Linked DNA regions of Caenorhabditis elegans. The main gene of each other region encodes a partner of the protein of the gene in region 4 in a complex. Each region holds a gene or a part of one and is shown on either strand. Other genes may lie near its edges. The genes, in order: mdt-21, cic-1, mdt-31 and rgr-1.

What was found.
Region 1: rgr-1 (region 4) and mdt-21 share a complex: the UniProt entries of both Caenorhabditis elegans proteins name them as parts of the mediator complex.
Region 2: rgr-1 (region 4) and cic-1 share a complex: the UniProt entries of both Caenorhabditis elegans proteins name them as parts of the mediator complex.
Region 3: rgr-1 (region 4) and mdt-31 share a complex: the UniProt entries of both Caenorhabditis elegans proteins name them as parts of the mediator complex.

What each region holds. Positions count from the first base shown.
Region 1 is NC_003281.10:11,776,003-11,780,628, reverse strand, and holds mdt-21 (Mediator of RNA polymerase II transcription subunit 21), read right to left. Parts: upstream 3,009-4,626; 5' UTR 2,986-3,008; coding exon 2,797-2,985; intron 1,764-2,796; coding exon 1,560-1,763; 3' UTR 501-1,559; downstream 1-500. Other genes in the region: C24H11.5 (Gem-associated protein 7), read right to left, coding at 22-121, 311-394; immp-1 (Peptidase S26 domain-containing protein), read right to left, coding at 4,044-4,274. UniProt on the Caenorhabditis elegans protein: Component of the Mediator complex, a coactivator involved in the regulated transcription of nearly all RNA polymerase II-dependent genes.
Region 2 is NC_003281.10:2,392,160-2,402,753, forward strand, and holds cic-1 (Cyclin-C), read right to left. Parts: upstream 9,063-10,594; 5' UTR 9,050-9,062; coding exon 9,018-9,049; intron 8,971-9,017; coding exon 8,864-8,970; intron 8,808-8,863; coding exon 8,696-8,807; intron 8,644-8,695; coding exon 8,522-8,643; intron 6,427-8,521; coding exon 6,232-6,426; intron 3,810-6,231; coding exon 3,628-3,809; intron 3,498-3,627; exon of another isoform or gene 3,448-3,497; intron 2,403-3,447; coding exon 2,244-2,402; 3' UTR 2,166-2,243; downstream 1-2,165. Other genes in the region: Sterol 4-C-methyltransferase strm-1, read left to right, coding at 9,940-10,002. UniProt on the Caenorhabditis elegans protein: Component of the Mediator complex, a coactivator involved in regulated gene transcription of nearly all RNA polymerase II-dependent genes.
Region 3 is NC_003279.8:8,962,431-8,968,785, reverse strand, and holds mdt-31 (Mediator of RNA polymerase II transcription subunit 31), read right to left. Parts: upstream 2,673-6,355; 5' UTR 2,657-2,672; coding exon 2,629-2,656; intron 2,490-2,628; coding exon 2,388-2,489; intron 2,281-2,387; coding exon 2,116-2,280; intron 2,066-2,115; coding exon 1,824-2,065; 3' UTR 1,785-1,823; downstream 1-1,784. Other genes in the region: spd-2 (Spindle-defective protein 2), read left to right, coding at 1-701, 833-978, 1,020-1,313, 1,361-1,691; snpc-4 (snRNA-activating protein complex subunit 4 homolog), read right to left, coding at 2,863-2,985, 3,040-3,177, 3,226-3,435, 3,484-3,804, 3,862-4,086, 4,131-4,200, 4,256-4,410, 4,480-4,692 and 4 more. UniProt on the Caenorhabditis elegans protein: Component of the Mediator complex, a coactivator involved in the regulated transcription of nearly all RNA polymerase II-dependent genes.
Region 4 is NC_003281.10:9,390,765-9,398,634, forward strand, and holds the start of rgr-1 (Mediator of RNA polymerase II transcription subunit 14), read left to right. Parts: upstream 1-3,339; coding exon 3,340-3,483; intron 3,484-3,534; coding exon 3,535-4,615; intron 4,616-4,712; coding exon 4,713-5,313; intron 5,314-5,760; coding exon 5,761-5,935; intron 5,936-6,166; coding exon 6,167-6,184; intron 6,185-7,095; coding exon 7,096-7,254; intron 7,255-7,463; coding exon 7,464-7,870. Other genes in the region: gpr-2 (G-protein regulator 2), read right to left, coding at 645-865, 918-1,525, 1,576-2,076, 2,130-2,377. UniProt on the Caenorhabditis elegans protein: Component of the Mediator complex, a coactivator involved in the regulated transcription of nearly all RNA polymerase II-dependent genes.

The DNA.
Region 1 (4,626 bases), 2.4 Mb from region 4:
CCTAGGCCACGGCCACCGTACCGACGATCACGTGCTCCGAAGACGGTTGAAATGCTTTAATTGTGGCGGTGACCGTAGTTCGTTCGCACATTTCGATGGTGGCTGGCTTGTCGGCGGATTTCTGGAATTTTTCGAGAATTTTCGGGGAAAAATGGCACAAAAATTGGGATTTTTGGAAAATTTTCAGTTTTTAGACTTGAAAAATGAGAAAATCGGTGGCTTTTTTCAAAATTTTCGCTGAATTTTTCAGATTTTCACCAAAAATATCGATTTTTTGAGAGGTTTTGTAGATGAAATGTCCAATTTTCACCTGCAAAAAGCTCAAATATCGCTCCCGGAGCACAGCTTGTCGCCTCTGTTGCTCTCCTTCTGCTTCTTGTGTGCTCTGGGCCATCTGGAAGTGGTTTTGCTAGGGTTTTAGGCTAGATTTAAGAGAATTTCAGATAAAAAACCATGGTTTTTGCCAATAGAATAGGAAAATGAGGAGTATTAAATTTAAAAAAAAAATCAAATTTTAAATTTAAAAATACCCAAATTCTGGGGGAAAAGTGTAAAAAATGGGCAAAAATACAGAAAACAGTTAAAAATTAAATAAAAAGAAAAAGAGATCACAGTTTTTCGAAATTTAAGAAATTTTGGAATTTTCAAGGGAAAAATTTGAAAAAAAATCGATTTTCTCTGGGAATTTCTAATTATTTAAAGTGGTGGAAATCGATTTTCAATGGGGAAAAATTGGCAACTTTCTAGAAAAATGGGGGAAAATTGAATTAAAAATGATTATTTTTGAGGAAAAAAATTTAAAAAAAAAAAGATAAATTACCCACAATTTTTCAAATTTAGCAAATTTTCAGTAGAAAAAAGGGTAGAAAATCAATTTTGAATGGGAAAAAATGAATGAAAATAAATTAAAATTGACATATTTTAAAGGGTTGAAAAATCGATTTTAAATGGGAAAAATCCCAATTTTAATAGAAAGTCATGAAAGTTTATATGAAATTGAAATTTTCACGGAAAATTAGGCAAAATTTTTTCTGGATTTTAAGGAATTTTCAAGAGGAAATGGACTAGAAAATTGATTTAGAATTCTCAATTTTCCGGGAAAATCGGCCCAAAATAATTTTTTGCTATGAAAATCAATTTTCTCTGGGAATTTCTAATTATTTAAAGTGGTGGAAATCGATTTTAAATGAGAAAAATCGAAAATTTCAAGAAAAATAGGGGAAAATTAATTAGAATTTAACTATTTTCAGGGGCAAAAAGGGATGAAAAATCGATTTTAAATGGAAAAAAAGTTGATTTAAAATCGAAAAATTAAGGAAAAATCACAAAAAAAAATGGAAATCGGCTGAAAACATGGAAAAAAAACATGAAAATCGATATGAAATTGAAATTTTCACAGCAAATTAGGCAATTTTTTCTGGATTTTAAAGAATTGTCAAGAGGAAATGGACTAGAAAATTGATTTTTTTTTCTCAATTTACCAGAAAATCGGCCCAAAATAATGGAAAAATGATGAAAATTACAATAAAAAATCGGCAAAAATCGGCAAAATATAATAATTATTCACTGGGTCTCGAGCTCATTTGTGTCTTTGAAATCTCGGCAAGCTTCTTCTGAACAACTCCGACGAGCCGATTGCTGTCGCCGACGAGTCCGACGAGCTCATTCACTTTTTCTCGCTGCTTTTCGTCGTTTTTTATCATTTTCTCCTCGACTTCCGCTTCCTGGTTGCCCGCTTCGATTGGGAATGAGTCGATGAGGATCTGAAAATTATTTAATTGGTTTTTTCCCGAAATTTTAAGCTGGAAATTGAATTTTTTCGATTTTTAGCCATTTTTCACCCAGAAAATCGAATTTTCAAAAGAATTTCGACCTAAAATTCGATTTTTTTGAGATTTTTTTCAAGAAAATTATTAATTTTGTTCTATTTTTCACCCGGAAAATCGAATTTTCACAATTTTTTTCAAATTTTAACCCGAAAATTGAATTTTTCGACAGAAAATTGGATTTTTTTTGCTGTTTTTTGGGTAGAAATCACGATTTTTTCGGCAAAAATGAGAATTTGCTTAAAATTTTCAATAAAAATTGGATTTTTCTGTACTTTTTTGGCTGAAAATTAATTTTACTGAAACTTTTGTGGAAAGTGGATTTTTTTTAATTTTGAGTTTTTTTAAATTTTAAATTAATTTTTTTTTTCGGCTAAAAATGTGGATTTTTGAATTTTTTTAAAGAAAAATTTCGATTTTTCTTCATTTTTCACCCGGAAAATCGAATTTTCACAATTTTTTTCAAATTTTCACCCGAAAATTGAATTTTTCTGAAATTTTTTGGCTGAATATTGTAAAATTAATTTTTTCAGCCAAATTTTCAGAAAATCCTAAGCAAAAAGCTTCAGAAAAGCAGTTTTTCTCGTTTTTCAAACTATTTTATATTCCAGGAAACAATAATTTTCAAAAATTACAAAAATCCTCATTTTCAGCCGAAAAAAATTTAATTTAAAACTAAAAAAAACTCAAAATTAAAAAAAAATCCACTTTTCACAAAAATTTCAAAAAAAAATCTAATTTTCAGTTAAAAAAAATAGAAAAATACAAATTTTAAATTTTTGTCGGGTAAAAATGAGGATTTTTTTGTAATTTTTTGAATAAAAATTAGGGTTTCCTGGAATTTTCTGGAATTTTTTGAGTTAAAACAGGCTAAAAATAGTTTGAAAAACGAGAAAAACAGCTTTTCTGAAGCTTTTTGCTTAGGATTTTCTGAAAATTTGGCCGAAAAATGCTCAATTCTATAGAAAACCTCAATATTTTTAGCGGCTTTTGCAATTCCAGCGGCAAAAATCGCGCAATTTGGCTCATCCTCAAGCTCCTGTGAAATTGCTCCAAATTCACATGGCGGAGCAGTCGCCTGGAGCACTCCAATCGCATTTGTCATTAATCCGGCCATTTCGTTAATCATATCCTGTAGTTGGGTCATTCGATCAGCCATTTTCAAGAGTTTTTGGGCTGAAAATGAGCTTGAAATGTAGTTTTTAATAAAAAATTGGAATTTTCGTATAAAAATTGGTCGAAATCCTCTGAAAATTCGAGAAAATCAGATAAAAATGCATTAAAATGGAGTGAAAATTCATTTTTTTTTTCAAATTTTTTCCATTAAAAATTGATTTTTTTGAGTTGAAAACCTAAAAATCCTTATTTTCTGCGATTTTTAAGGTATTTTTCTGATAAAAAACCGGATTTTATGCGTTTTTTGGAACTTTTTAGGAATTTACTAGTAGAAATTTGAATTTTTTGAAGATAATTGGCTAAAAAACTTTGAATATTTGAGAAAATCGGATAAAAATTATTTTTTTTCTTCAAATTTTTACCAAGAAAAATTGATTTTTTTGAGTTGAAAAACTAAAAAAAATCCTTATTTTCTGCGATTTTTAAGGTATTTTTCTAATAAAAAACCGGATTTTGTGCGTTTTTTGGTACTTTTTAGGAGGTTTTCTAGTAGACGTTTGAATTGTTTAGACGAAACTTGGCTAAAACTCTGAAAATTCGAGAAAATCGGATAAAAATGAATTAAAATGGAGTGAAAATCGATTTTTTTTTTCAACTTTTTACCATGGAAATCTAAATTTTTTGCGTTGAAAATCCATACTTTCTGATACTTTTTTGGTAGTTTTCTGATGAAAAGTTGGTCGAAAGGCTCTGAAAATCGGATAAAAATGAATAAAAAATGAGTAAAATTAATTTTTTTTTTAATTTTCAATTAAAAATTGAATTTTTTTTGCGCTGAAAACCAAAAATTCTAGTTTTCTAGCGACTTTTTAGAGAGTTTTCTGATGAAAAATTGGATTTTTGGCTTCAAATTGATAGTTTTCATGGAATTTTTGCTGTAAAAGTGTTTTTTTCAGGTAAAAATAGGGTTAAAACCCATTAAAAAAATAGAAAATGGAAGTAGAAAAACATGGAAAAATAGTATTTTATGGCAAAAAAAAAAGTGAGACAAAAACCAGGAAAAAAGGGTGGAAAAGCACATAATTACACTGAAAAAGAAGCCTATTTCTCTGCATTTCTATCACTTTTATCCCAAAACCAATGATCAGAAATCCATCCGGCTCTCTCTGGAGGCCATATTCTCAGGCTGAGCCTTATCTGAACAAGGGCTTCAGGTACCGGGCCGAAATGTCTGGAATCTGTTGAAACTGGGCCGTTGTCACCGCGAAGGAATACGTGACCAATTGGAACTCTGCCAGATGGAAGCAAATGGGAGGTTACTGGATCGCCTTCCTGAAAAAATTGAAAATTTTATGGGTTTTTTTTAATGAAAAATAGCATTTAAATTGGCTAAAAACATCTGAAAATTTGAAAAAATCGGAAAAAATTGAATTTTTCAAGGAAAAATTATTTTTTTTTCGACTTTTTTTGGTGGTTTTGGATGAAAAATCGGATTTTTAAACGAAAATTGGCTAAAAACATGACACTGGGTCGCCTTCCTGCAAAAATTGAAATTTTAGGGTTTTTTTCTCGGGAAAATCGGAGCAAATTGGATTTTTTGCGTTAAAAACCTGAAAATCCTCGTTTTTTGCGACTTTTTAGGTGGTTTTCTAGGAAAAATCGAATTTTTGAAATGAAAATTGGC
Region 2 (10,594 bases), 7.0 Mb from region 4:
GTCGTGAGATCAGGTGTCTGCGTACTTTTGGGGCTACCGTACCCCTGGAAATGCCGTTTTTGTGCTAGAAATTTAGAAAAAACCGTGTATCTGGCGCAAAAAATAAAAAGGAATTCAAATTTATAAATAAAATTCTAAAATTTTAGCTTTAAAACTGAAACTTGGAGATTTTTCGAAATCCGAATTTTCTCAATTTTCCGCAAGTTTTTGAAGAAAATATCACCAACTTCTTGTCATTTTTTGCACTAAACCTCGTTTTTTCAAAGCTTAGCTAGCAAGTTTGGCAAAATTGTGCATTTTGTCGTGAAATCAGGTGTCTGCGTACTTTTGGGGCTACCGTAACCCTCGAAATTCAAAATTTGAGCTAGAAGCTTGGAAAAAAATGTTTTAGATGTAAAATTAAAATGAGAATTCAAATTTGGCATGGAAATCTGAAAAATGTGAGTTTAAAGACTTGAAATTCCACTTTTTCGATAAAAAATATTTTTAATTATTTTTTGATTGTTTTTTGTTCCTTAAAACACTTTTTTTTTTAATACGATGCATATATAGTTTTCAAAAAATTTAAATAAAAATTTGAATATGAAGTGAAAAAAAAAATACAAAAAATACTCATTTTTGACAGAAAAAACACTTTTTTTTTGAAAATTGGCCAAATTTTTTATTTTTTCAGCGGATTTTCTTATTATTTTCCTCGAACATTTTTGGTTATTATAGCGTAAATGAAGCTCATTTGGAAACTGAAAAAATTGCCAAAAAACTTTGAAACAAATCTCGAAAAAAAAATTTTCAAAAAAAAAAATTTTCAAAAAAAAATTGTTTTTTTAATTAAAAAAAAATTAAAAAAATTTTTTTTTTTCAAATCCCAAATCCAAAAATGTGCCAAAAAACCTAATTTCTTTTTGCCAGGAAGCCGTTTACAACATTTTTCATGGTCTAGTGAGCTTTAACTCATTTTCAAGAGAAATCCGATACTTTTACGTCGTACATTTGTTCGAATTTCCCCTTTGTTTTTTAGAAGCTTTTTTTCTTTTAAAAAATTTAGAAAATCTACTGTGTTTTGATGTTTTAGATGTACAAAAGCTTACATTCGAAAAAAAAATATTGCAAAAAAATTATTAACAAATTATTCCAATTTTTTCAAAATTGCTCAATTTTCTGCTTTTCACACATAAAAAATTGAATTCAGCTTATTGAGCCCTTCAAAATGAGTCCCATATTGACTAGCCTCCGCGTACTTGCTCAAAATTCGGGTTTAACAGGTCTCATCACGAATGCTCGTGTTTTCGAAACCTAAAACTAATTTTTTCGGAAAACTAATACGAAATTCGAGTTTCCCATCAATTTTCACACCTGGGAAGCATTTTTTAGAAACTTAGCATAAAATTTGAGGTACGGTAGCTCCAAAAGTACGCAAACACCGCAGAGCTCACGACAAAATGCACAACTTTGCGAATTTCAGCGCCAGACGGCTGAAAATTTGGGTACAAGCGTAAAAAGTGGTGGTGAACTCGAATTTCGTGACAAAAATCTGAAAAAAATTGAAAGTGTTCAAAAACCTCAAAAATCTGAAAATTGGCACCTTAAAACTGAAAATTTCAAAAAATCATTATCAAAATCGGATTCTCCATGTAATTTTACCCCTGGGAAGCATTTTTCTAAGTTTCTAACTCAAATTTTGAATTTCGAAGGGTACGGTAGCCCCAAAAGTCCGCAAACACTGCGGAGTTTACGACGAAATGCACAACTTTGCGAGTTTTAGTGGCAAACGCCTGAAAATTTGGGTTCTGGGATGAAAAGTGGCGGAAAACTCGAATTTCGCAATGGAAATCTGTAAAAATCGGTGCAAATGTTGGAAAACCTCAAGAATCTGAGAATCGACGCCTTAAAACTGAAAATTTCAAAAAATCAATATCAAAATCGGATTCTCCATGTAATTTGACTCCTGGCAAGCATTTTTCTAGGTTTCTAGCTTAAAATTTGGATTTCGAGGGGTACGGTAGCTCCAAAAGTACGCAAACACCGCAGAGCTTACGACAAAATGCACAACTTTGCGAGTTTTAGTGCCAAACGCCTGGAAATTTGAGTTTAGGCGTAAAAAGTGACGGGGAGCTCGAATTTCGCAATGGAAATCTGTGAAAATCGGTGCAAATGTTAGAAAAATTCAAGGAATAGTTTTATTGGGAAATATTTACAAAAAATACAGTAAAAAATCGATAAATACAAAAAATTTCCAGAAAATTCTACAAATGATATCCCTGCTGGTGCTGATGCTGCTGTTGCGGGGGCGGTTGCTGATTCGGTTTCGGCAATTTCGCCATCAACTTCTTCACTTCTTCTTTCTCATCAAATGACTTCCAAAGTGTGTACATTTTGTAGATTTGCTCAACGCAGTCGGTTACCTGGAAAAAAAATCATAAAAATCCAAAGTTTCCGGGAAAAATGAAAATTTGGGCATAGCTTCCGCATCTCCGAGTGACAAATGTGCTCTATTGTCAAATTGTTGGCAGAAATACGGTATTTATTCACATTTTCAGCCAATTTATGACTGAAAATGTGAATAAATACAATTTTTACTGCAAACAATACGAGTAGAGGCACAAAAGTCACAGGGGAAAATGCTCAGAAATTTGGTGGCCTAGAAATCCAATTTCGGGCCACCAATTGATTTTAAATTCAAAAACTGAATAGAATTCGGTTTTAGATGCAGAGTTCGATTAAAAAGCGATTCTCCGCCGAAAAAAACCGTCGAAAATTTCAAAATTTGAACGAAAACTCAGAGTTTTCGGATTGGTGGCCTAGGAAATCAAAAGAGTTCGGCCACCAAATTCCAAAAACCACCGAGAATCCGATTTTTCGACTAAAAATTCGGTTTGTTGGCCAAAAAGTGGGCAATATTCCAGTTTTTGAAAATTAATTTGACACGTGGCCTAGAAAACCAAAAAGTTCGGCTACCAATTAGTTTTTGGGTTCAAATTTTGCAGAGAACTCGATTTTTTTAATCAAAAATTCAGTAAAAAACACAAAAAAAAACGTTAAAGTTCAAAAAATGACCTTATTCCCAATCGGTGGCCTAGAAATTACAAAAGTTCGGCCATCAGCCAAAAAACTCGGCCACATGGGTAAAAAGGTCCGAAAAATTCGATTTTTCAGTTTTTTTTCACTGAAAATCACAGAAGCATCGATTTTCGGGGATTTTCCAGCTCAAATTGCACAAAAATTCAGGTTTTTGCAATTTTTGAGTTCAATTTTCAAGAAAATGCCAAAAATGTCAAAGTTTCCGTTCTTGACTTTCTAAAATCACAAAAATTCCCTTAATTCCGATTGGTGGCCTAGAAATTGCAAAAAGTTAGGCCACCATCATTTTTCGGCTGAAAATTGGCAAAATGGGTTAAAAAACTCGGGGTTTTCCACATTTAAAGAAAAATGTTCGAAAATTCCTATTGGTGGCCTAGAAAGTAAAAAAGTTAGGCCACCAACTTTTTTTCGGCTAAAAATGCTTAAAAAATTGTCTATTTTCGCGGAATTTGCTGGATTTTCTTGCAAATTCTCTAAAAATTGGCAAATTTCTCGAGTATTGGGTAGAATTTCACGGGAAATCTCAATTTTCCGGTAGAAATCCGAGACCTTTTCAAAATCAGTGTCAACTTCGACAAGCCAAGCTTCCAATTCTTCTCCACGGCCCATTAATTCCATTGCAACCATAATACTTGATAATCCAATGACATGTGGTGGAAAAATCAATGAAACATCACATCTTAGCGAATCATTTGCCACTTTTTGACATTGAGCTTCAATTGCTTCCAGATCTGCAAAAAAATGGAGGTTTTTTGGTGAAAAATTGGATTTTTTAGTGAAAAATTGAAAAAATTAGAAATTTTGAATTTTTTAATGAAAAAATGGAAAATTTTGGATTATTTAGTGAAAAATTGGAAAAATCGAATTTTTTTGAATTTTTTGGTGAAAAATTGGATTTTTTAGTGAAAAATTGGAAAAATCGAATTTTTTTTGAATTTTTTGGTGAAAAATTGGATTTTTTAGTGAAAAATTGAAAAAATTAGAAATTTTGAATTTTTTAATGAAAAAATGGAAAATTTTGGAATTTTTAGTGAAAAATTGGAAAAATCGAATTTTTTAGTGAAAGATTGGAAAATTTTGGATTATTTAGTGAAAAATTGGAAAAATCGAATTTTTTTGAATTTTTTGGTGAAAAATTGGATTTTTTAGTGAAAAATTGAAAAAATTAGAAATTTTGAATTTTTTAATGAAAAAATGGAAAATTTTGGATTTTTTAGTGAAAAATTGGAAAAATCGAATTTTTTTTGAATTTTTTGGTGAAAAATTGGATTTTTTAGTGAAAAATTGAAAAAATTAGAAATTTTGAATTTTTTAATGAAAAAATGGAAAATTTTGGAATTTTTAGTGAAAAATTGGAAAAATCGAATTTTTTAGTGAAAGATTGGAAAATTTTGAATTTTTAGTGAAAAATTGGAAAAATCGAATTTTTTTTGAATTTTTTAGTGAAAAATTGGATTTTTTAAGTGAAAAATCTAATTTTTAAGTTAAAAATTGGAAAATTTTGAATGATTTTGGGAAAAATTGAAAAAATTGGAAAAATTTGAATTTTTTGAGAAAAAAAAAAGGAAATTTCTGAAATTTTTTAGGGAACAGTGGAATTTTTTTGATTTTTTTTTTTTGAATTTTTTGGTGAAAAATTGAAAAAAATTGGAAATTTTTGAATTTTTCAGTAAAAAAGTGGAAAATTTGGAAAAATTTAAATATTTAGTGAAAAATTGGAAAAATTCGATTTTTTAGTGAAAAATTGGAATTTTTTTTTGAAAATTTGAATTTTTTAGTGAAAAATTGAAAAAATTAGAAATTTTGAATTTTTTTAATGAAAAAATGGAAAATTTTGGAATTTTTAGTGAAAAATTGGACAAATGGATTTTTTTTTGAATTTCTTAGTGAAAAATTGGATTTTTTAAGTGAAAAATCTAATTTTTTAGTTAAAAATTGGAAAATTTTGAATTTTTAGAGAAAAAAAAGGAAATATCTGAAATTTTTTAGGGAACAGTGGAATTTTTTTGATTTTTTTTTTGAATTTTTTGGTGAAAAATTGAAAAAAAAATTGGAATTTTTTCGTGAAAAATTAGGATTTTTTTTGTGAAAATTCAGTTTTGTTTTAAAAACATTTTAAATTTTTAAGAAAAAAATTCCGAAAAATTCTTCGAAAAAATTGAGGTTTCCTAATTTTTGGCATATTTTTTGTAGGGGAAAATCAAATTTTCTTCAAAAATTGAATTGCAAATTTTCCACTTTTTTACTGAAAAATTCAAAATTTTCCAATTTTTCACGAAAAAATCCCAATTTTTTTCAATTTTTCATCAAAAAATTCAAAAAAAAAATCAAAAAAATTCCACTGTTCCCTAAAAAATTTCAGATATTTCCTTTTTTTTCTCAAAAAATTCAAAAATTTCCAATTTTTAACTAAAAAATTAGATTTTTCACTTAAAAAATCCAATTTTTCACTAAGAAATTCAAAAAAAATTCGATGTTTCCAATTTTTCACTAAAAATTCCAAAATTTTCCATTTTTTCATTAAAAAAATTCAAAATTTCTAATTTTTTCAATTTTTCACTAAAAAATTCCAATTTTTTCCAATTTTCCCCTAATTATTCAAATTTTTCCAAATTTTTCACCCAAAAATTCCAATTTTTTTTCAATTTTTCACCAAAAAATTCAAAAAAAAAATCAAAAAAATTCCACTGTTCCCTAAAAAATTTCAGATATTTCCTTTTTTTTTCTCTAAAAATTCAAAATTTTCCAATTTTTAACTAAAAAAATTAGATTTTTCACTTAAAAATCGAATTTTTCGCTAAAAAATTTAATTTTTCCAATTTTTCACTAAAAATTCCAAAATTTTCCATTTTTTCATTAAAAATTCAAAATTTTCCAAATTTTCCACTTTTTTACTGAAAAATTCAAAATTTTCCAATTTTTCACTAAAAATTCCACAATTTTCCATTTTTTTCACCAAAAAATTCAAAAAAAAAATCAAAAAAATTCCACTGTTCCCTAAAAAATTTCAGATATTTCCTTTTTTTTTCTCAAAAAATTCAAATTTTTCCAATTTTTATCGATTTTTTTCCCAATTTTTCCTGGAAAAATCGCAATTTCTCCAATTTTTCACAGTTTTTATCAAAAATTTCCCGGGGGGGGGGGGGGGGGCACCTTTAATAGGTTGATTAGCAATAGTTGATTGTTGAGTAAATTGTTTCAAATCTTCTAATAATTCAAACATTGGACGTGATGCATGATGTACAACAAGGCAACAATCAAGAATTTCAACGAGAATAAACTCGGAATCGTAGACAACTCCATTTTTTGTCGATGTCGTCTCAAATGTCACTCCCCATCGTTTTGGCACTGAAAAATGAAGGGATTTAGGGGCGCGAAATTTGAATTTTTGAGGGGAAAATTTGATTTTTAGGCGATTTTTTGGACTAAAACGGGTTTTTTATCGAATTTTTGACGTTTTTAGTAGAAAAATTGAATTTTTGAGTGGGAGATTTGATTTTTTGGCGATTTTTTGAAGTAAAACGCGTTTTTTCGGACAATTTATGGGTTTTTTAGTAGAAAAATTGAATTTTTTAGCGGAAAATTGGTTTTCAGGCGGATTTTTTGGAGTACAACGGGGTTTTTTCCCGAATTTTTTGAAATTTTTTGCATTTTTAGTAGAAAAATTGAATTTTTTAGCGGAAAATTGGTTTTCAGGCGGATTTTTTGGAGTACAACGGGGTTTTTTCCCGAATTTTTTGAAATTTTTTGCATTTTTAGTAGAAAAAATTGAATTTTTGAGAGAAAAATTGATTTTTAGACGAATTTTTGGACTACAACGGGTTTTTTATCGAATTTTTGACGTTTTTAGTAGAAAAATTAATTTTTTAGTGGGAAATTTGATTTTTTGGCGATTTTTTGAAGTAAAACGCGTTTTTAATAGAATTTTTCGAAATTTTTAGAATTTCTAGCAGAAAAATCGAATTTTTGAGGGGAAAATTGGTTTTCAGGCGGGTTTTTTTCGAATTTTTTGAAATTTTTTGCATTTTTAGTAGAAAAAATTGAGTTTTAGACGAATTTTTGGACTAAAACGGGTTTTTTATCGAATTTTTGACGTTTTTAGTAGAAAAATTGAATTTTTGAGTGGGAGATTTGATTTTTTGGCGATTTTTTGAAGTAAAACGCGTTTTTAATAGAATTTTTCGAAATTTTGGGTATTTTTTAGCATAAACATTGAATTTTTGAGTGGAAAATTGACAAAATTCTGTTGTTTCTGCTGAAAAACTGGTTTTTTAAAAGAAAAATTGAATTTTTGATTAGAAAATTTGATTTTTAGGCCATTTTTTGGCCTAAGAAGAGGTTTTTATTCTAATTTTCTGTGATTTTTAGCGTTTTTAGCAGAAAAATTACATTTTAGACGGATTTTAGGACTAAAAAGGGGTATTTTATGAATATTTTCTGAACATTTCGGCGTTTTCCGCAGAAAAATTGAATTTTTTAGTGGAAAATTTGATTTTCAGGTGGATTTTTGGACTAAAACGCATTTTTGGTCGAATTTTTTACAATTTCTGGCGTTTTTAACAGAAAAATTGAATTTTTGAGGGTAAAATTGATTTAAGGCGATTTTTTGAAGTAAACCGGGTTTTTAATTAAATTTTCTTAAGTTTTTGGTTTTTTTAGCAAAAAAAAGATGAATTTTTGAGTGGAAAATTGATAAATTTTGGTTTTTTCTGTCGAAAATAGATTTTCAGGCAATTTTTTTGAAGTGAAAACGAGTTTTTTATCGAATTTTTGAAATTTTCGGCGTTTTTAGCGAAAAATCGAATTTTTCAGGTTAAAAATTGACAAAATCCGATTTTTCCACACAAAAAACGATTTTTAGACGAATATTAGGACTAAAACGGGTCTTTATGGGTATTTCCTGAACTTTTAACCGTTTTTAACAGAAAAATCGAATTTTTAAGTGGAAAATTTGATTTTTAGGCGATTTTTTGGACTAAAACGGGTTTTTTTCTGGTAAGTTGGGCGTTTTTAGTTTTTTTAATTAAATTTTTCTGAAAATTGGCCGTAATTTTTTTATTTTTGGCGTTTTTAGGAAAGCATCGAATTTTTGAGTGAAAAAGAGGCAAATTTTTCGAGTTTTTCGAGTTTTTCAGCTTAAAAATCGATTTTCAGGCGATTTTTTGGATTAATAAGCGGAAAATGAGCTGCAAGAGTGGAATTTCAAATTTTTTTGAGACAAAACTTGACTCAAAAACTGTTTTTTTTTTTTGGTTATTGAGGTGATTTTTAGAGTTTCTAGCTGAAAAATTTGGATTTCAGCGGTTTTTAAGTGAAAAATTGATGTTTTTTCCGGGTGTTTTTTCGGTTCAAAAGCCTATTTTTCACTAAATTTTCCAATTTTCAGCCGGATTTCCGCGTTTTTCTGCCAATTTTTTGCAATTTTTCCGTCGTAAAAACGCACAAACGATAGCTGTATTTTTCAGAAAGCTTGAGACGCTCAACGTAGTGTGTTCTTCAACTTTACACGCTAAAAATAATGCTGTAGAGGCTACGAGGAATGGGCACATGTCACGGAACGATTGCCTGAAAAATTCGACGTTTTTCCAGGTTTTTTATCATTTTTTTCCGAATAAACCTTAGATAAAATCGCTTAAAATAGATAATCGCAGTTGCAATAACCTGTTGACGGAGTTTACATCCAACATTTGCCTGTGAGTGGGCTCCTTCTGTGGCGACGGCGGTTATAACTGAAAAAAAACCAAAAATTATCGATTTTTTCGAGGAAAAAGTAAGGAAAAATTACAATTCGCCCAGAAAATATTCAATCGATTGTACTCTTCCTCGTTATAAATCTTCATATCCTCGGCGCGTTGCTTCCAAATCTCGGTTTTATCGAAAATCCATTGTTGGCTGGAAAAAATGGGATTTTTTTGGGTTTTTCAATGGGATTTACTTACCAATGACTGCTTTTCCAGAAATTTAAAGCCATTTTTCAACTAAAATCATTAAAAAAATGAAAAAATCGAGAAAAACAGTGGAAATTGAGTGAAATCGATGAAAATTCGAATAAATAAGAATAAATTCGGAGTGTGGATTTACGGTAAAGAACACGCGCCTGCGGGATTCCGGAGTGTCGTTGTATGTCTTTACGCGGTAGTTTAAATCGATTTTTTAAAGCTGGTGGATTATGGCTAGTTTAGAGGGGGTTTTGAAGTTTTTTTTTGTGAAAAATTCAACAAAACGTAGTCAAAATCCTTCTTCTGTGTTAAAATTCAAAAAATTCCATTAAAACCGAGACAAATCGAAATTTTTCTGCAAAGCCACAATAATTAATAATAATTTGGCTCATTTTTCAGAGTTTCTCATGAGTTTATGATTTTTGTGTCAAAATGCTTCCAATTTGCTTTAGGTTTATGTCAACTACATTTCACCCGTCTCCAATCCCTCTGACCACTTGAACTTTCACTTTTTCCCGAAACTAGGCGGAGTCTGGCGGGGGTGCTAGTGAAAACTATCCAATATGACACAGTCACCCATTTCTTGGATGAAAATCCGGCAATTTTGTTTGCAAAACTGAGCAGAAATCATCATTTGATAAGAAATTCGCACCTTTTTGACCTTTTTGACGCTGTAGTCACTGAGCAAATAGAAAAGTGGTACAAATTGGCTGGAAAAAGTCGTATAAAGGAGCTTTTTGGGGAGTTTTAAAGTGTGAAATTGGCTTTGTTAGGTGCTAATTAGTATATTGGAGATTTTAGGAAAAATTTAAAATTTTCGAAAAAAATTTTTTTTTTCGAAATTTTTTTTTCAGAAAATTTTTGTTCGAAATGTTTTTTTTTCAAATTTTCAGATTTCCAGCCAATTTCTTCGTCTATAAACATGTCCATCAATATGAATGCCAACTTTTTGAAGCTTCTCACCCATTTTCGGCGTCACGATTTGGTAAGTTGAATTTTTTCCCAAAAATTTGAAATTCCGACCTATTTTTGTTTAAGTCTTAATTAATGCAATAAAAATGCGAAGATTTTTCTTTGTTTTGTTTAAAAAAACATTTTTATAGCTTAAAAATGAGCAAAGTTATAGGATTTTTTCTAAAAATTTTTTATTCCAAAAAAAATTTTATTTTTTGAAATTTTCAACATTTTTTTAGTACGATTGTAACTTTTTATTTGAATAAAATATTTATCTACAATCTGCTTTAAAAATTATAAAAAAAATCTTAAAAATGAGAAAAGTTATGGTACTTTAAAAAAAAAAAAACTCAAAAAAATTTTTTCAAAAAAAAAATTTTTTTTTTTCAATTTTTTTTTAAAATTCCCCCCCAAAAGTACATTTATTTCTTATTAATGTTATTATGTACTATCACATCTTATCAGTACGAAACCCTTCGTGTTCTTCTGTTTTATTGAAACCAACGGAATATAAGGTGACGAAATGAATTTGACCTACTTTTTTCTGTTATTTGCGCCGCCGCCGAAAATTGGTGAAGAACAAATAATTATTGTGACCTTGTTAATGACAATGTCAATAATAG
Region 3 (6,355 bases), on a different chromosome or scaffold from region 4:
CGCGAACTCGTGTTCCTATAAAGCCAACATCTGCACGACATTCTGGAAATGTCGTATCCTCGACGTCCAACGACAACACAACTGCAGCATCATCCAAAGATTTGACGACGAGCCGAAAAGCGATGGAGACTTTTAGGCAGAATGCATCAATGGCAGATGCCACTAATTCTAATACAGCAAGCATGACGAGTATCTTGAGCACAATCTCCACTGCAAGGACGGATATTAGTCGTTCATCTCGTAATCATGGTGGTGGTTTTTCGAACACATCCGTCTCTACCGTCATTCCGGCCAATAATGGCAATGTTTCACTGTCCCATGGACGCGATGGACGGGATTCGGTCAGTTCGGTGCGCACAATGTCCCGTGCTTCTTCGACCTCGACGGTATATGCAGGATCCACATTTTCTGGAGTATCAAAGCCATTGCGAATTCATGCTAAACGCGTGGCATTCGGTTGTGTTGCAGTCGGCGAGACATTGAGAGTTGAAGTCGAAGTGGAAAACATTTCCGATCGTCAGTGTCTTGTTCGAGCCAGTACGGATAGTACCACACCAGTTTATCAAATCCTTGACAACAAGCTAACTATGGTTGATCCAAAAAAGAGTATCAAGTTTCAAGTATCCTTTTCTCCTAGTTCTGTCGGACGTTATCAAGTTATTATGAGTATCGAAGTACCGGCACAAAATTTTATACATAAGGTATGTTTTTCAAAAATTTGATGGAATTGGATGTCATCGTGTCAAGCACATGTGTGTGTTTGCCTATGTTTGACTATGAAACATATTCGATACATTTTTCAAAAGCCATAATAAAGTTATGTTTTCTTCAGATTCCGATGTGGGGTAATGGTGGAATTGCGAAGTTCGTGCCCACTTCGCCAGATTTGCAACAAACTATAAATCAGTCAGAGTATGCAATGTGCACCTCATGCGCAAAACGAATCTCTTTTAAGATCAGCAACTCTGCAGGAACAAGGTAGGCTAAATAGACGACGCTTACATAACAATTTCTTTCAGAGACGGCTTTGCGATGATTAAAGTGTTCGACTCAGCGATGCGACAGCTTCCAGACGGATGTGTAGCTTTCTTTCCTGCACCCGGTTTCATTGTAAAGAAAAAATCGGATAAGCGTGTTGACATTCGCATCGACTCATCTTATATTGATCTTCACGATGAAAACAATTTTCGTACATCGTCTTCGCTTTCGACAGCCTCAACAACATCCTCATTCCAGCGACGTATTCTTCCTGGAGCCAAATTCTTTGTGCATGTCGTTTGGGGTGAAGAAACCATGCGAACCAGACTTCGATTGTTAATTTGAATACAGATGAAATGGTATTACATTTGAAATTATTTAGGCTAGAAGTTCGCACAGGACAGCATCAACTAATCGATGGTCATGACTTCACATCTTTCCAATTTTCCGATGAAGAAGTTCTTCGTGCTGTTCCAGTTGGATTCCCCGCTATCAAGCCCGAGGACCGTGATCTGTTCGCTGCTTCTTATCGTAGTTTCTTCATCAATTTTTTCACTTCTACAACTGAATTCCGTGCTGCTACAAGCCGGAAGAAGAAAGAGATATGCAGCAACGACGACTCTACTCTACTCGAGACAACAGCTTTCCGTAATCAGACATTTGTCAACGACGTTACAATTGTTCCCAATACAAGATTTTCGAATAGAAAGTAAAATCTTAACCTAACTTTCCAAATATTCTCTGATTTCTGTCCAGGCTTCGAAAAAATTCACGGTTCTGTAAAATGTAGGTTTCAATTTCAATAAAGTGGTGATGAAGTTTTATTTGATTTACATTTTTTATGTTTATTTTTCTTTCTTTGAAACGGTAGAAGTTGTGGAATTCTTTTCGGCTGTGTCAGCATCCGGTTTCTTCATCGTTTCCTCATCATCTTCATCCTCTGTGTCCTTTTGTCGAATATCAGCTTCATCTTCAGATTCTTCAAGCTCTTGTCCCTCATCAGGCATCATACACAAACGATGCCGTTTCCGAAGATAAAACTGCCATTGGAGAACCACTTGATCTTCTACGAATTTCGCGCTTGGTCCTGAAAATAAGTTACTATTCTTCTGATAGATTAAATAAAATTTGAACTACCGTAAGCCATCGAATCGCGAAATTGCTGACTCTGCAGTGCTTCAAGCATGTGCAGACATTGAGGAAATTTCAAGCATCTGGCATATTGAGGATCTTTCCAATAGAGAAGATATTTGAGATAGTTGACAAAATATTCTTCTTTGAAATAACCACGTTGCGCGAGAACTGGAAAATATGAAATTTGCAGGAAAAAGAGTGCATAAAAAAACAAGAAACTTAGAATAAAAATACGTTTTTCTCTATTCTCGGCTAGTGTATGTGAATAAACTCACAATTAAGATAATTTGGATTTGCAAGAGCCTGCACGAATTCACATTCAACTTCAAATCTCGTCTTTTCACTTTCTACACTCTCCATCTGCATTGTATTGTAGCCTGAAGAAAAAAAAATGGAATTCAAGCTTCGAAAAATTACAGAAATTTACAAAATTTTGATATTATGACCTTTTTTCACCTATACGGTGAAATCCGTACTACGAAATGAGTTAAATATATTATTCCAATGGAAACATACCGTATCGATTGAAACTAAAACGACCCATGCCTATAAAACCATTTTATTAGAAAAAGAAAAACAAATTTAACAGATGGTGTTCATAAAGAGCTGAGATTGTTAATAAAACAAAAGTGAAATAATCTTAGGAGATCAACTTTTAATGGGTTCAGTTTAAAAAAGTGATGTAAAACTGCACAGGAGAGGATGACATAGAGTTGGGTAAAATAGTTATATTGTTCAATAATAGAATATTCAATCTAACTCCACTTTGAGCGAAATATTACTCTCCGTATCGATCGAGACGTGACTTGGAGTGGGTGTACCTGCAGATGAACGCGGTGGACGAGCAGGACGCGCTGCAACTGTCGCAACGGTCTGAAAAATATACTGTTTCATTGAGGACTATGAGAAAAATATAGATAATAGTACCGCAAGGATTACTAGGGGTAAAAGTTTAATTTTAGTGTCACATCTCACCTCTCCAATCTTCCTTTTCATTCTGATTTTCTTCGCAGAATTCTTGTCCAGATTAGCCAACAACTCGGTGGTATCGATTTTCATGCCGTTCTGAAAAAAAACAACGTCTAGCAGTGGAGACAACGCAAAAAACTTTACATTTAGTTCTCTAGAGATTGAAGTTGGAGTAACATAGATCTCGTCATCAGGCATCCGGCGTCGTCTTATTTGGTCACAGGTAACTTGTTGTTCTTCATCGCAGGCGCGTTCCTCTGCAAGACAGCGCACAAGCCGCTTGGTTTCATCAGACGACGATTCACGAGCAATTCCAAGACGCATTGGTTCGAGAAGAATCGAACGCATTCGAGCCTGAAAAATTATCAAAAATAAAAATAAGAATATAATATATTCACTTACATAAAAATTCGCATACTCTTTACTATTGGTGACCTCATCAGACAACCCGATATGCATACGTCTGTCTCCGTCGAGGCCCTCTCTCTCGTCGTTTTTGAAGTTGAATTGTTGAGCCAGAGAGACATCAAGAGGGTAAAAGTGTTCAGCAGAAAGACGATTCAATCCAGAACGGGCTTTTTGAAGCATTTTGTGAAGATCGAATGATGCAGCAGTCGGAGGAAGAGTTGACTTGGCTGGGCAATGTACATCATTTTGATTGCATGACTTTGAGTTAACATGTAAATACCATTCAGCGACTTCTTTTGACTTGTTTATGACCATCTGTGAGAATTTTAATGTGAATTTTCATTAAACTTTATTTTCTCTATTCTGACTCACATTCTCCACAAATCTTTTAGCGTATTTCGGCGCTGTGAAGCGATGTTCATTCCAAAACTTAGTGCCCCATTCTTTTACGTCGTGAGCACGAATTACAGAGCACAACGACTCCACAATGACCATTTGCTTTTCATCTTCAGCATCATTTGGATCAAATGTTGGCATTGTTTCTGGATCCAAATCGATCTTAATCGGACGAACACGACATCCGATTTGATCCACGTTCTGAACATTTTTCAATGGGTTAATATTCTGTACAATTAATTTACCTTTCTAAACTGTCGAGCCTCGTAGTAACGCGTCAAAGTCTTGCTTCTTTCTATCATGTAACGAACATCACTGAAAAACAAAATGTAATTAAAATATGGTGTTTTTTTTTTGGTTTTCAACTAACACTTCCGTGATTGTGAGCGATGAGAGAATTTCACTGGAGTGTAGTTCTTTGTCGATTTCGGCTGCATTTTTGTGCTTTTGAACAATTTCGTTGATTTTATCTTGGATTTTTTGATAATCCGGCTTATTCTTCAGAGCTCGAATTCTAGCGGCGGCCTGCAATAATAATAATAATAATAGTAATAATAAAAATATGAGTTTTAAAAAATTTATTTTTGATCTTACTGGTCTCTCCAAGGCAGATACACGTTTGTAAAATTCTTCGGGAGTCTCATTCATATCCGGATTTTCGTTGGCGAATTTCTCATAAACTTCTTTCATGAGTTCATTTGGAATCTGCTCCGCTTCCACAATATCTTCTTGCTCCAGCTCGTCCTCTTCAGGAGCACGTCTTCCGGATTTCATGGCATCGACCGCGTTGCAGAATCCGGCAGCCAACTGAAATTTTTATTAATCATTGCTTTTATTTAAGTGAATTTTTAAAAAGATTTTTCACAATAAAACCAAAAAACTCACTCTCAACTTGGCTGCAATTAACTGCAAATATCGTCTTCTCAACTGTCTCGATGTCTTTTTTGGCAAGAGCATCTGACATTTAGCCCAATTTCCTTTTCCAAATACTTTTACCGCATACAAAAGTTGTTCGTCTTCAACCAGCGTGAACCGTTCGTTGACATGAGCTGAACGATTCAACACATTCGTCCAGCGTTCGCGGCATTGAGAATCGTTACGATTTTGCACCGCCTGAGCAACTTTTGCCCAATCTTTTGCTCCATATCGTGAAACTGCACAGACAAGAAGCTAAACGATATGTTTGTTAATTGCTTAAAATTTAAATCTAAATATGAATGTTTTAAATTTCCAACACACAATAATCGTGGAATGATGTTTTTACTGCTAATTTACATTAATTATACATACCACATCTTCTTGATCAGTCCATCTTCCATGCTTAACCGATGCATCGAGAGTATGCGAGAATCTAGTTCTGACTTGTTGACGAGTTCTTCCAGGCATACATTGTGCAACTTTATCCCATTGAATATGTCCGTTGATCGATGTAATTTTTGTGAGCGCAATTAACTTGGTGTCTTCGTCTTGAGACCATTCTCTGAAATATTCAAAATTACACACATTTTGAAAACGAGCTTCTCACTTTGAATGTTGAGACACTTCGGTTTTGTACTTTTCCATACATTGATAAGATGTTCGATTTGTACCGAGATTCAGAGCCAGCATCGGCCAGGAGACAAACTTTGGACTTTCTCGAAGGTATTTCAGCTTTTCTACTTCTTCATTTGACCAATGTTCTTTGTTCCACTTTGGATTCAATTCATTGTACCATTTCGATTTCACCGCCCATTCCGTTCTAGAGCCTTTGAACTGAAATAATAGTTTTATTTAATTAAACTTCACAAACAGGAAGTTTTTGAATTAATGAAAGTTTAAACATACGTCGAAGTTGGCTATTGCAGTCCATGGAACAACGGTATAATCAGCCGAAGCAGTCAATACTTCTTCTTCACTTTTTTCTCGAACATAGGCAATTTTTCTCATCAAATCTTCCAGCTCCATAGTCCATTGACGTCGATCGAAATTCGATGTAGTGATATCAGCGTCTCGAAGTTTTGAGGCAACGATATCTCGTCTAGAACACCACGGTTGAACCTGATGAGCCACCAATGCGTTTTTAACAGATGTCCGGAGTGTTTTTATTTCAGATGGTGTCCATTTTTTCTCCTCTTTCATCATTGGGTCGAACCATTTTAAGACTTGCTTTTCGCGAGCCTCTGAGCTCATTGGTGGGTACATGTTATTATCATCTTTAAAATATGGTGGCATATACAAGTGAACGGGAACTTTGCGTTTTGTAATGTCAGCACGATTGTACAAACGATATTCCTCCTTCAATTGTTGTTGTCGCTTTAAATTGTCGTCTAAATGTTGCTGAACAGAAAGAAGAGCCGAATCCAAGATTTCCACATAAGTTTCATTGACATTCATGAGCCCTTCGAAAGTGTCACATTCGAGTGCATCAACCACTTGTGTTGTCGACTGAAACAATTTTAGATACATTATACAACCCAAGTTATAAAAGCCA
Region 4 (7,870 bases):
GGAAGAGCATTTTCCCATCAAGATTCTGATATTTTTTGAAAGAAAAGTATTTATAGAAGGAAAAGACTAACGCAATTGAATGAAAAAATAAAGAAAAGTGTGTCAGAGAAAAGAAAAGGTAACCCGATACGACAGTTTTAAGAATTGCAAACTTTACGCCCTCCAATGTCGGAGATTTGAGCGTTCAAAAAAATTGTTCACGTATTTCAAGTAATATCATATTTAGCCGCTCAAAAGTATTTTTAATAGGAGAAAAAACATAAATCATTTCGGGTCTAGGTTTCGCCTAAAAACTGAAGAATACGAAAGGATGCAGGAGAATGGCGCTCGTTCCCTCGGACGCTGGCAGTCTCCATCTCTCTGCGTCTCTTTACTTTCGATATCTTCCGGATTCCGAGGTCACTAACCATGAGCTTTTGAAATGACGTTGGGAGGGCACGTGGGGAAGTTCAGAGAGAATAACAAAGTTCTATAAAAGTATGACTTGACGGATATCGCTAATTGAAAAAAATTAGCTTTACTGACCATCAAATAAAATAAAATTATAATAAAGAACAACCACTAAAATAATAATAACATTTACTTAAAGAAAGTAAAAAATAAATAAAGTTTGATTGTATTATTTGACAGAAAAAATAATGGTCCTATTTGGACGTCATTGTCACATCATCGCTTCGAGTATCATCGCCCTGTATCGAATTTGTAGAATCCAATGACGATTTGCTTTTCTTCGACCTCTTCAGGATCCTATTCATTGTGTGACCATCGAACTTCATCGACTGCACTTTTGTCCAATTGGCACGGAGTCCAGGGAGAATTCTGTGGCTCTTTGTAGTCTTTTTCGATGCCGATGACACTGGACGAGCTGGAAAAATATAAATTTGCATACATTTACGCTTATTTGTAATATTTCTTACGCGGAATGAATCTGGCAGCAGACAGTTCAGTTCTCTGATCATCCATACGCGAGCTCATACTGAAAATGAGATCCATCATGTCTACGGGTTCCTCGTTCTCTTTCTTTTCGATCGCTACTGGTTTCTTCTGGTCTTCAATGATTCCGTTGACAATCATTTCCCAGGTTTCAACATTTGTTGCGTGCTCCAGTTTGACGACGAACTTATTAATCATGTCATTCGAGGATGTCGGATCAGGAGACGAATCAATTGCGAGGCATGCATCTTGATCAGTTGCCGTTTCGCTTCTCTCTTGATTCATCGCCACGTCGATCTGCTCGTAGAACAGTTTGAAACTGCTTTGGTTGATGGTCAGAACACTCCCCAAGATGATAAAATAAGCAGCTTGGCGTCTTTTTCCAAGTGCAATGAGACACTTTGCGATTGTAAGCAACACATCTCCAATGTGTTCGTTCAATCCAAGCTTCCGAATCGATACAAGCGCTTCCAATCCGTAGAGATATGCTTCGTGGAATTCGCCATTTCTCAGCATCTCTTCGGATAGCTTCGACTTATATTTGACTACATCTCGCTCTTTTCCGAATTTCGTGGCGTAGAAGAGAGCACTTCTGTAAAAATAGAATTGACATTTTTATTAATCGTTAAAACTAAAAATTACCTGAGATCTCTGATAATAAAGAAAAGAAGATATGTCTCAGCATAGAGAGCCTTGTCGTAATAGGCGATGTGAACTGCTTCAAACTGGTCTGTTTTGATGGCAAAATCGATGCATTCTTGATACTTGCGACGCGATTCCTCGTATTTTTCGTCGAGTGACAAGCATTTCGCCTCAATTAGCATAATTTTGGTCTCAGACACAGCTCCTTCCGTATTATTCTCGTTGAACAATTTCACGGCTGCAATCTGTTCAGCACATATTGACAAAAGCTTCTTCTTCTCATCTTGATTACTCTCGACGTCTCTTTCACATCCTTCGAGGCACACGGAAGCGAACAAAATTCGAGCTTGACCGATATACTTCTCTCCGTTCTTCTTATTGCTGGTGTAATCAATGAGATCCTCAGCAAACCGTCGAGCCTTGGAGAACTTTTCCATTTTGAGTGCCTGCTGGACGATGCGACGTGTGGAATCACATGCTTCTGGGTAGTTGAAGATCAATCTGAAAAATTAAAGTTATAGAATGCCCAGCCCATTTCCGTTTAATTCACTTACTTGAACATGTTCAACTCATGTTCGAAAAACTCCAAGGCCTTGGCGTCGTGGTTCAAATGCCTGCACACTCTTCCGTAATACATGTAGATTGTACCAAGCAGTTGAAAATTGGAGGTTCCGAACTCCATTGTGTCCTCTAAGCGTCCTTTTCCATCCTCGTATTGTCCCAATTTCATGGCCGTCACCGCGCTTTTCAGCATTGCTTCGATGACTTCATCCTTAGGGCCATCATAATAAGAGACGTCCATTCGTTTTGCGAATGTGGAAACTTCTGAAATAAATCGAAAATTGCGAGCAAAAATAAAAAAATAGAGGAATTTTACGCAAACAGACAAAAATTTCACGCGGATCTGCACGAATACACGAAATATTTAAAACGGGGAAAGTTTCTTCAAATATCTCACGAGGTTTAATAGACTATTACACATTTTGTTTAAAATTTTACAATTTTTCAATAAAACAACCGCTGAAAAACAAATAAACTTGAACAATGACTCGAGAATCTCTGTGGGGAAGTGAAACTTGGCGGTTAACGCGTTGTTTTTTCGCGCGCTCTCAACTTCTAATTTAGCGCCGCTTTCTGATATGTCGTCAAATGTGTTGCCGATGTACGCAAGTACACCATCACGCGCATTTGCACACTCAGTGGAGTTTGCAAACAAATTTTCAAAAATAAATTAAATACTGTTTATTGTTTAATTTTATGCATATTTGTACAATTTGAATGTTATAGTTTGATTAAAACTATTCGAAACATGTAAATAAACTTTAAATTTGTAAATGTGTCGCTTCCCAGACCGTATATTGTGTATTCTTCAAATAAATATGTATTTCGCAGAAACTGTCTTCCCAACTCCGAGCCGCACTGGCGGATAATTCGCCGGCTGCTCCAATATCACCGGCTCCATCTGGCTCGGCCTTGTCACTCGATGAGTCGTCTGGAATTTCAGACCGCGATGTACATTCTTCTCAGGAACAAACGGCACATCTCTCCGAAGTCGATGTAAAATCGATTCATTCATCGGATAGCGAAGATGGTATGCTGCAGTAGAACAAGGAAGATATTTATTTTCTATAATTTCCAGAACCAGCGCAAAATCCCTTACCAGAAGTTCCTGCAAATTGTGGCCCTCCGACGATACCTCTAAATGTTCTATTAGACTTTGCAATTCAACATGTTTACCACGAGATCACAGTTCTTGCGGAATTGATGCAGCGGAAGACAAATGATCAAGGAGAGCAGGAGCGGAAAATGTCTCTTGTACATTTTGCACACGCTACTCGCAGTCAATTTTTGAAACTTGTAGCATTAGTAAAATGGATACGGATTTCGAAGCGAATGGATGTTTGTTATGTAAGCTTAATTCGCTCGATTTCGATCGAAAAAAAAACATTAATTTTCCAGTCTATCGACTACCTTCTCGATCTCCAATCACAATATTTCATCGACACGGCCGATCGATTAGTCGCAATGACTAGGGGAGATCTCGAATTAGCTCGTCTTCCAGAATACCATATTGCGCCAGCTATTGATGTTCTTGTATTAGGAACGTATAATCGAATGCCATCGAAAATCAAAGAAGCTTTCATTCCTCCAGCAAAGATCACACCGAGAGAACAGAAACTCGTCACTTCCCGATTAAATCAGCTCATTGAAAGTCGGCTTTCTCGACTTTCAAGCGGAATCCCACCAAATATAAAAGAAATTCACATCAACAATGGACTTGCAACTTTACTGGTTCCTGGAGAGTTTGAAATCAAGATTACATTGCTCGGTGAAACAGAAATGACAAAGTGGACTCTATTGAATATCAAAATTCTCGTGGAAGACTACGAACTTGGAATGGGACTTCCTCTTGTACATCCATTACAGCTTAATCAGCTTCATGGAGTACTGCAATCTCGGATGAATGTTTCCTTAAATCCTATTAAAGAAGCTTTCTCCTTTTTGCACAGTTTCTGTGTTTCACTACAATTGGATGTTTTGTTTTGTCAAACTTCAAGATTGGCAGCTGGAAGGTTACGTGATAACATTACAATCGAAAAGTATGACCCAAAAGAACGAGTTTTGGTAGTTGGATACTGGGTTAAAAGATCGAAGAGTCGAAGATTAACTGTAGGACAAGTCAAATGTGATGCACAATACAGAGTTCAGATCTATGAAGATCCAAATGACAAGCTAGGTGGACTTAAAGTTCGTCATTTCCCTCATGCTCCTCAGCTCGGACGACTTGATTCTGGAGCTGGAATGTTGTCAATTGATCGACTATTATCAGAAACATATGTGGTCAGATGTAAGGAACGATTGATGCGGTTGAGAAGAATCCTTGAAGCTGCTGAACCAAGATTAGAAGTGAAGATGACTGGAATCTCTGCACCGTCACTTTCTCTTGCTCTCCTACCGGATACCTCTTCAAAGGATGAAATGATGACGGTATCTGTGAATTCATTCTGTGGAAAAGTGCTCTGCAACGTTCACATTCTCAGTGAGTTGTGTCGTTTCAAATTCCAGCATATTAATTTTAAAAAAATACTCTATTTTTTACCAAAATTATAAAAGAAATAAACTTATTCATATTTCAGGTGCTGAACACGAAGATGTCCTGGCTTTTGGAAAAGCTCTCTACAGTAGTCAATGTTCAGCGCACACAATTCAAATGTATCTTAGAAAACTTCGTGTCGCCCTCGTGATAGAACGATATCGACGATCAGTGAAAGCTCTTCCAGTTCGTGAAGTTCAAGAAGCTGAGCTTCTTCCATTTGCAAAGGAATGTCTTGGTGATGCTCCTGCCCAACGAATTATTCTTCAGTTCCTTCGATCTGAAGACTATTATCTGCTTGTCACATTCTCTCCCGATGAAAAAGCAGTTGTTAAGACTCACATTCAACTTTTGGAAGTTGTTGGAGACCGAGCTCAGTTCATTCAGTTGGAGGATGATGAGATGAATGGAATGCATGTAAAAGAAGCGATTAATCAAGGAACGATGCGTTTCTCGCCATCTCATAAAACATCACTTCAAGAAGAGTGTTCGAGAGAGCAGAGACTTGCATTTGCAGTGGCTACTGTAGAAGATCGGATCACGTACATGTATCTGGCGGCTGAATTAATGAAAAAGGGAATTGGAGTTGATGTGAGAAAAGATTCAGCACACGTTCCAGGAGGGCTTGCTCTACATATCACGGAGTAAGTTTTTTTCTAGATTTCGAGCACTTATATTAAAAATTGAGCAGCAGCGTCAAGAAAAAATTCTAAGGTTCGAAATAGTCTCAAGTTCAGAAATATCACAAAAGACAAACGAAAAAATCGCTTCAGAAATTTTTCAATATTGACTGAATTCTCGGTTTGAATTTCATCCAAGTTTTGAGAGTTTGATTTTTTATTCTTTCACAATTTGTTTTTCTTTTTTCTTTTGTGGTTTTATTTTTCTGAATTTGACATTATTTTGAATTTTTGAAACAAAATCCCCAATCTCGCTAAATACTTCATCTTTAAACATTTTCCGCCAGTCTTAAAATGTAATACTGCCAGTATTCATGATTTGAAAACAAATTGAGAAAATTGAAAAAATTGACTTTTTCAGACAAATTTTATTTCGTCCGAAACAATTTTTAAAAATCTTGTAATTTTCAGTGTGAAAAATGTTGTTCCATTCGAGGCAAGCGAATTCTTTGAATGTTGTATCAGATGCTGCCTTCGTCTCGATAATCGAAATCGCTACACATTCCAATTCGAAATGTGCTTTGAAAATATTCCATTGGTTCGAGACGTACCGCATGGTCTCCCACATCGTCGGGATGGTGAACCGGTACGTCATTTCTTATTTAATTTTAACTTAAATTCTCAGAAAAGATTGCCGTGCCGCCCGAATTATGATCGGTGTCGTATTGTTGTCGTTCTTAGAATATTAGAACAGATGAGAATGCAGTTTTTTTTAAAAATATATTTATTCTACTTTTTCGGTTTTGGTATCTATCCTAGCTTTTAGAAAATAGAATTTCCTGTGATGACACATTTAAATATTAGTTTTTGATTTCAGAAAGATCGCACCAGTAAGGTTAGTTTTATTGCTTCGGATTGTGCATGATATGTTGCTTTTGCATGCTTCTTGTCTAACCATTTATGTTTCCTCACTGAGAATATCGATTTCTTGATTTTTTTTGCAATAATTCCCGATTCTTGCAAAATTTTGAATCAAGTTTTCCGAAATTTTCATTCGGAAACAGGAAAACATTTTAAAGAAAAAATTCAATTCAAGTGGTTTTTCCAAGAAAATTTCCCAGAAAATAGAATTTACGCTTTTTAATTTATTAAAATTATACATATCTTAATACTCGATTTGGATAATTTACGTACTTTCGAGTTAATCTATTTTTTATACTAATTTTCAAGTTTTTTTCCCGCAAAATTTTGGTTTCTTGACTATTTTTACGGATAATTTTTTTTTAATCTTTCAGGAAACTAACATGTTTTTAAAAAAATTTATTTAGTTTATTTTGATGAGAAAAAACATATGAAAACATGTAATTTTCTACAAAAAAAATCAGAAAAATGAGCGAATTATCCTAACAACGAAATCTCGAAAAACCAAAATTATAGATTTAAAAAAAATCGAAAAATCGAAACTCTTGATTATTACTTCCGAAAACATTTGCATGAACCACTTATGCATACATATTTTTTTCTGCATGTGAAATTGCTCGGGAATAAATTTATTGGTTTTTGTCTTAAATGAATGAATTCTAGGTGAAAATGTTGAAGTTAAATAGCACCATTAAACTTTTTTTTTTATTTTATTAATTTTCGCAAACAAATATAACTTATTCACACACTCATTCACTAAACTCACCTGCCTCAATATCATATACCAATCACAAAAATCACAGCATTTTACTGCCTTGCTTTTTTTTTGGAATAGAATTTCCAAATAAATTGTCGCTTGTCCTTCTCCATCACAACTTCTTTCAGGATGCCACGTGGCTGCAGGAGCTCAATCATATCAATCAATCTTCGCCAGAAAAGCTAGTTGAATTAATCATCCATAGATTGATGCGATATCTGTACATGTACAAAGTTGTCCATCAATTCTCGTTGGCATATGAAAAACATTTCAAAAATTATTGTAATGTATGTTTTTTTTGAGAAGAATTTTTTTTTAAAGTTGCAATATTTTGTTTAAAAAAAAATTCTAATTAAGTGGAGATTTTTCTCAAAATCAAAACTGTTTTTTTCTATGTAGAAGTTTCTAGAATTTTTCAAAATTGTTTTAGGCTTTTCTAAATCATTTTTTTACTACAAACATATATTTAAATTCGAAAAAAAGTGGTTTCTTTCAGATTGAAGCGTATACATTCCATAAATTGGTGGTTTCTTATGGTGACAATAGAGATATGCTGATGATCCTTGCATTTAATGTAAAGTCCCAAGCTCCTGGATCCTCTGAAGATTTCTTCTTCTTAAATTTTGGTCAATCAATGCCGCATCGTCAATTCAATTCGACAGAAATCGATTGGCATCAGAAGCCACGTTGGAATCCACATTCAATGATGTCACAATTGATGAGAGATGATCTGAAAGAAACGAATGATCTTGTATTCACTATGCACTTTTTATGCGAAACAATTCGTCCACTCGTCGCTATCGGAAATTTCAGTCGAATTCGTTTTCAATCTCAGAAATCACTTTCACAGCTTATTGGACCAGATGTACATTTCCCATTCCGATTGAAATATCATTTATATGC